2 linked regions of the Coturnix japonica genome follow. Each later gene encodes a partner of the first gene's protein in a complex. Links are inferred from orthologs where the notes say so. Each region holds a gene or a part of one and is shown on either strand. Other genes may lie near its edges.

The links.
Region 2: the proteins of PTH1R (region 1) and PTH are in contact, whole or in part, in a cryo-EM structure (PDB 9JR3), measured with the Homo sapiens proteins. The link is inferred for Coturnix japonica from reciprocal best matches to the Homo sapiens genes PTH1R and PTH. Residues at the interface, in NP_000307.1 of Homo sapiens: Val31, Met32, Thr33, Lys34, Glu35, Gln37, Ile38, Leu41, Glu111, Trp112, Asp113, His114, Ile115, Ile135, Tyr136, Asp137, Phe138, Arg146, Arg162, Thr163, Ala165, Tyr167, Val171, Leu174, Thr175, Glu177, Glu180, Arg181, Phe184, Leu187; in NP_000306.1 of Homo sapiens: Ser32, Val33, Ser34, Glu35, Ile36, Gln37, Leu38, Met39, His40, Asn41, Leu42, Gly43, Lys44, His45, Leu46, Asn47, Glu50, Arg51, Val52, Glu53, Trp54, Leu55, Arg56, Lys58, Leu59, Asp61, Val62, His63, Asn64, Phe65.

The regions. Positions count from the first base shown.
Region 1 is NC_029517.1:3,290,832-3,294,656, reverse strand, and holds part of PTH1R (parathyroid hormone/parathyroid hormone-related peptide receptor), read right to left. Parts: intron 3,231-3,825; coding exon 3,089-3,230; intron 2,686-3,088; coding exon 2,644-2,685; intron 1,919-2,643; coding exon 1,556-1,918; 3' UTR 1-1,555.
Region 2 is NC_029520.1:11,844,966-11,848,452, reverse strand, and holds PTH (parathyroid hormone), read right to left. Parts: upstream 1,780-3,487; 5' UTR 1,724-1,779; coding exon 1,638-1,723; intron 867-1,637; coding exon 593-866; downstream 1-592. UniProt on the Homo sapiens protein: Parathyroid hormone elevates calcium level by dissolving the salts in bone and preventing their renal excretion. Acts by binding to its receptor, PTH1R, activating G protein-coupled receptor signaling.

The sequences.
Region 1 (3,825 bases):
TCATAGAATCATAGAATGGCTGGCTGGAAAGGGACCTTAAAGCCAATCCAATTCCAATCATGGTCTGGTTGCTTCTCACCAACTCAGGCTGCCCAGGGCCCCATCCAGCCTAGCATTGAGCACCTTCAGGGCATGGGGCATCCACAGCTTCCCTGGGCAGCCTGTGCCAGTTCCTCTCCAGTCTTTGATTAAAGATTTTCTTCTGAACATCTAACCTAAATTTTCTTGTGCTCTTCCCTTCCCAGGCAACCCCAATCATATTTCCTCTTCTAAGCATCCCTAGTCAAACTCAGTGACTTTGGCTGAAATTATACGTAATCACACCAGCTAAGATGCTGGCCAGATGTCTGTATGTGTGTGTATGACTCATTTGAATGTCCCAACAGCTAAGAATGGGAAAGAAAGAAGATGCTCAGAAGGTGACTGTCCATGAGCCATCTCTGCGCTTACATCCAGCAGATTTTGCCCTTGAACCTCATAAAGGCAAGTTTGCCTGGCTGTATCCAGCATCTTGTGTTTCTCCTCATGAATGTTTGGATTAGTGAGAAACAAGTAATTTGGAGGGGGAGGATGAGAAGACATTTGTAACTTTATAGGAACGTGACTCATGTCTGTTTCCATGAGCTTCCACGAAGAGGGAGGCTGAGATAGTGACCTTCTGAGCTGGTCTTAGCTACACACACACAGGCACATAAGCTGGAGATCTGCAAACACCCTTCCCCATCTCAAACTTCCTGGGAGCAGGCAGAGTGGGCCCATCTCCACTGCTGTATCTGGAAGACTGAAAATGTCACACATTGTGATAACCACATTTCCCATCTTAAAATTGCACTGTTTTCTGGCTTGCTATGATACTCAGGTCAAGGAAAGAAGAACGCAGCTTTTTGCCTTTATCTAATGACCATGAGCTGTTAACCCTGCCCATCCCAGAGGAGCTTTTTGCCAAGGAATGAGTATACCCAAGGGAAGAACATGTCCCAAGTTGTACCAAGCTGTCCATGTTAAGAACCAGGTTGCAAGAACGGGCAGCTATGGTACCTGAGGGTCCCTGGTCATTCTCATGTGTGTTACCAGACAGATTCAAAAAGGAAAGGGCAAACCAAATCAAAGACACTGATGCCCAGTGTGGCTTGTACCCTTGCAAGAAGTTGGCAATGTACACTCCCCGCAAGACTCTTGCTTTACTGGGTGAGATTCCCATTCTCCTTGGCTGCCCAAGCCTCCAAGAAGTAAAAGGACCACGTGCTGCTGTGCAACCCTCCCCAAAAACTCTCAGCATCTCTGTTGTTCAGCAGGTGGCAAGGCCCGTGGACAGCCCTGCCTCCATTAACACTGGGGAGACTTAGATCACTGGGTATATGTGTGTGATCACCTGCTGGCCACATTGATGGCTCACTTTTTCTTTTTTTTTTTTCTCATATAACTTAACCTCTCATTCCACAGAACAGAGAAAAGGTATGGAAACCCTTGGCATCCATTGTGTGGCCTGATATTCTTGCCCACTAAATGCTCTCCAGGAACCTTTTTCACCCTTTTGCTGCTTCTCTTCTTCTCTTTACATCACTGTCTCTCTTTCTTCTTCAACAAGTACTGTGGGTCTGTCTCCATCATAAAGCCCAGAGCCATTCAGGTACTCCTCATCCTTGTTGTACTGCTCTGGTCCAGAAGAAGGCATAGAGTTTTCAGATATAGAGCCATTTTTTACATAACCTGGTAAATTCCGGTGTCCATTGAGGGTCCCTGGTATAAGTCTTGTATTGAGATGAAGGGCAAGTGCCCCTCTCGTGGCTACATTTGTGATGCTGGTGTGGGAAACCATTGGTCCATAACTGTAGGTTGTGCTCCCACTTCGTGCTTTCCTTTTAAAATCAAGTGCTAGTGTCCACCTGCTCCATGACTTCTTTATTTCTGCTTGGACCTGAGAGACAAGGGGGAAAAAAAACATGAGTAGAAGGAGAAGGGGTGAGAGAATCATCAGGAGGAGGTAATATCTGCATGGATGGGAATTCTATGGAGGTTGAAATTGGAACAGACATCTTGGGTTCATGCTGCAGGACATAAGGAACTTATCTGTAGTTGCATTTCACCTTTAAATCCATAAACTCTGCCCATAGCAGCTTCATGTTTGTTCAAGAACATAATTCAGTGTGCATTCACTGATCAGCTAAGTTTTTACTGTGCAGCTACAGAAGGGATTAAAAGAAGCAAAGGCAGCTCAAAAACAATCTGAAAATAAAAGCACATCACTTGAAACAGAATAAAAAGATCAACAAAGCTCGGCCTAACAAAAGAGCTCGATGATTAGACAGCTATTCTATCAATCCGCTTTTACTCCTGACACAGCTTTGATATTAAGTGGCACTAAACAGCACTTGTGCTGGGAAAAGGAAAAAAAAAACACTTTTTTTCCCCCATTAGCTACTTCCAGTAGTTCATCAATTGATGCAGATTGATCTGTATTTCTTTTAAGACCAAAATGAATGTATGAACTTTCTGTGTAGATGGACAGATCTTTCACTGAGTGCAGACTAGGGCTGCTTCTCTAGAAAAAGAGGGATACACTGATGTGCATCCACTTTACCACCCACCATTGCAACTAGCTTAACACAGGTAGGAGATAATTAAAAAGCTTATGACTCTTACCTCTCCATTGCAAAAACAGTATATGATGGCAACAAAAAATCCCTAGAATGAAGAAGAAACAGCACATTAATGTTAATCGAAAGAACTGAGGAATGAATTCACAGGACTGAAAGACAGCTTGAGAGAAGTAAATCTGAATAAATTTGAAACAACATGTCTCTGGATCTCTACCAGCTTATGTCTGGTCTGGAGCTACATGGATATTGTGGGGCAAGATATCTTTCAACAGCAGCACACTAACCCTTTTTACGCTCTGTTTTGCAAATATAAAACATACCCGCTGCTAAAATATTGTCAAATGATCTTGTGAATGAAATTTGGCATACTGTAAACACAACACTGTTTCCAAAGAGAACATTCTGCACTCTCGTTTCCCTCTTCTCTGTGTTGAATATCTCATGGTCTGTGTCCATGGTTTAACAGCTACAACACAGTTAGCAGTTACCTGGAAAGAGTTGAACAGCATTTCATAGTGCATTTGAACTTGCCAAAGAATCCCTGACACATCTGTGTATGGCATAGCCATGAAAACAATATAGTGAACGCCAAACAGAGGCATAAGGACGAGGGTAGATTTCAGCAGCTTCCTGTAGCAACAAGGAAAGAGAAAGACAAAGTCAGATGGAATGAAACTCCCAGCCAGGCCAGTCCATCCTATACCTTGGGTGTCTGTCATGCATAATTTCATTCTGTCTAAACATGCACCCTTAGCTAGTCCTGTATATCTTACATTTCCAAAAGCATTGTGTCCAACTGCAGTTTCAAGCTATTTCTTCCCTTATGACTTGTGACACAACCCCATCCATCCTTCAGCACATCTCCCTCTCTACACACGTTTCTGTGTGATGCCAATGTAGGTACTGGAGATGAAAGCACCAAGACTTCTTTGCCTCAGACTATTCACTATTTTGGGACAGAAACATGGAAAGAAGGTGGAGAGGTGACATGGACCTAGACCACTGACTCCAGCTGGACCTGTTTGGTCAGGATTGGACCAGATGATCTCCAGGGAGTCTCAGTCTTTCTGTAATGCTGCAATTTTATCTATCATCTGCTCACTGAAGCAAGACATAAAGGCCCACTCTGGGTCAGTGCCTTCTGTGAAATGGTAGGGTAGGGAGGGAAGTGCACCTAGGAGCAGAATCATGCTAGATACCAAGGGGATGATGCAGTATGGGGTAA
Region 2 (3,487 bases), on another chromosome or scaffold:
AATTTCATTCTTTCATGTGCAATTTGTTTTATTTCATTCTACTTTAATCTTAAGCTTTGGGTTCCTTCTGTTTTTCATGTTCACACTCTTTAATCCTCAATTATTACTGTGCAGCTTTTGCATGTTCTTGACATTATCTGGTTTTAGGCTTTCTTGTGAAAATCCAAAGTGAATTTAAGTCTGCATTTTGCTTAATGCAGTTATATGTTTGTTTGCAGTACAAGTAGGCCTACAGATTGCAGTCAAATAGTCCCCACATAGGTGTGGTAGAACTGGTCTTAAGTATTTTTTCATCTTTCTTATTCTATTGTGGTTGGTCATTGTTGCTTTTTGTTTTTTATTTAATTCTCTTACAAGTTAATGAGTTAGATCAGCCAGTTAGAAGATACCCAAGAGTTAGCAGCAATGGCCACGGATGGCCTGTAAATATATTTTATTATCTAGTTGTGAAATACTCATTTCAATGGGGCTACGGTCTGGCATGGAGCCTTTAATCCTTATTAGATTAAATAAAAAAATAAAATGCCCTAATTGATCAGTGATCTACAGACATGTGCTTACTTGGACAGTTATAATGCTCTTGGTTTTTTCCTTATGCCTTAGTTTTAAAGACTACGTTCATGTAAGATTTGTCCAGGTCAATGGATTTCTTCTGCATTGCTGCCCGCAAATGCTCAGGGAGCAGCCTCCGGTTTCTTATCTCCCCCAGGACAATATCCTCCTTGTTTCGAGGCCTCTGGGTCCTGGCGTCCTCAAGGGCACTGTGCACATCTTGCAGCTTCATCTGAAGCCAGTCCTGTCTCTCCACAGTGTGCCGATGTTCTCCAAAGTTATGCATTAATTGCATCTCACTCACTGATCTCTTCCTGAAAGAGAGGAAAGGACTCATAATGGCTTTCTTAAATTCACCATCTCAAATAAAAATCCAGATTTGGGATCTTGTGTAGGATACTGTAGCACAGAGCTGTACAGCTCACCTTTCTCATTTGTAACGAGTAGGATAACATCTGGAGTAGAGAGGGAGTATGGATGGTGATTTGCTAATTGAAACATATCTGAGTGAGAAGGCATCAAATGTGGGAAGCAGTCCAGTTTTGTGATAGTGTTTGGCTATGTCTTTATCATTTCTTTTACCTGTTGGGGTTAAGCTTAGGGCTTAAAAGACAGTAGTTAACTGGTTAAGGCAACTAAGTACAGTATTTGTTCAGAGGCAGTTTTCTTTGAACACCATGGCAAGGAAGCATGATTTCCTGTGCATTTTTGTCTCAGTGCTGATTGATGTCAGTGTCTGAGGGTGAGTTCCAAGTAGGCTGTCACACAATAAAAATGTTCACCTGCTAGACCCCCTTCAAGCATCTGCTGATAGATGCGGGTTACCCAATGATAAATTTCTTAAAAAACAAACAAACACTTAAATGATTATTCTTAATCTCCTCTTTCCAAAAAGCATTTAAAAACTTGGCATGTTTTTGAGATCTCTACTGCTCTATCTAGAACTCAGACTTTTGCTGGCTGGGCTGAGGGGTTCAAAAGTGGGACTGGAAAGATTAAAGTAAACCGGTACTCGAGCTGACTGCATTCTTGAGAATAGTTCACATCATTTCACAAACTTTGGAAGCATATAATAAAGTACTTACATCATTGGTCTACCATCAGAGTTGGTAAAAAGACATAAGGCATATAAAATCATTACAGTCTTGGCCAGATTGTTTGTAGAAGTCATTTTTGTCTGCAGAGATGGAAGAGAATAAATGTATAGATCAGTGTTTCTAGTAATTCTTTGAATTCCAATTAAATTTAGGTTAGGAAAAAAGTTATAGAATGACAGCAGACAACAAGAGGCTTTAAAAACATTCTTTCCATGAAATAGATTGCAGCAAAGGGAAAAAATGGTTCTAATACTGTTTCTTTTGAGAAATTCTTTGTAACTTTGTAGGCAAGTCTGAAAGCTTCTGTCAGCCTTAATTGCTTTGCATTATCATCATTTAAGTACTCACAGTTTGGATAACAGGGTGGAAGGTGCCACATCCTTTCAGCAGCACTGTTATTTATCTTTTGCATTTGATATGCTTTAAGTATGTTGAAATACTCGTGTATTGCTATGCAGCTGAAAATTTGGGTTCCTTTATATGTCTTGAAAAGTGAAGTTGCATTGTGTTTAGAATGAGGGGGCTGCCACTCTTCTGGGCAGTTCTGCACAGAGGCATAACTTTGAGTTATTTCCTTTTTCCATTTAATCACGTAAAATAAATCAGAGCCGAGCCTCCTATATTTTAGTGCTAATCCTGCGTTGTTAGTATGAATTCCACACTGCTTTGTGTGTCATCAGCAAAGCTGCTGCCTAGTACATACATGAAGAATATTTATTACCAGTGATGCTACAACTGACTGATAAGGCACAGTCAAAATTTCTGTTTCCAGACTGAGTTTTCAGCACTTACTGCTGGGAAATGCATCTTTTTTGCTATAACTTAAGAAACTTTATACAGAGTAACCGAAACATAAGGAAAGAAAACTCCAGAGTGTGATGTTTTACGGTATTTTCTGCAGTTTTATTTTAGGGCAGAAAAGCATTTGCTAAATGGCATCTGACATGTTAATATGAATGTGGTCCTAGCAGTCCATCTAACTCAATATTACATATACAGGAATTGGATTCACTACATTCTAACTCACTGTCTCAGATGTACTCATTTCAAACATTTGGTTTAGATAATAAAACAGTTTGATCATGCTTGTATTAACATTTATTTTCAGGCTACCTTAAAAATAAGGCTAAGTAATAAAGCAATGATTAAAATCATCTAGAGAACTTGGAAATAAAAAAAGAGAGATATACTCACCAGATACTGCCCTGCACAGGGTATGTCGGCAGATGGCTGGGTCTTGATGTCAAGTATATTTAAAGACCACTGAATTGGTTTAGTGGACCCCTTAAATCTAACTTTAAAATAGAGCTTCTAAGTAACTTAGGAGCCCTTTTATTGTCTCAGTTGATGTCACTCTCAACACACACCCTCCTGACCCTCATGTACCCACCCTCGGATGCTTTTGTTAATTTGGCATTTACACGGAAAAGGAAGGTCTCAGCAGAAAGAAAATATCCTTGGTAGCTCTGAAGGAGTTTGACTTTTGAATTCAGATTCCCAATTACTCATAGATTTGTGCCCAAGATAATGTGGTATCTGAAGCTGTTGGAAGGATTTGCAAGGACAGCTTTGTGATGTTAAATGCAGGCGATGGGGTCAGTGAGCTACAAGTGCAAGATTAAAAAAATATTGAGAAGTTAACATATATGTAATAATTGTCAGAAATAACAATAGTAATTTTAGGTCAGGAACTGGAATTCTTTGCTAAAGAATGCATTGGAGAGCAGCTGAAACCCCAAAATGATAGACAAACATGTTTCTAATGAAGCTGACTGTATTGAAATGTTGTTAAAATACAGTGTCAGATCCCCATTGCCCTGTTATACCTACAACCATGA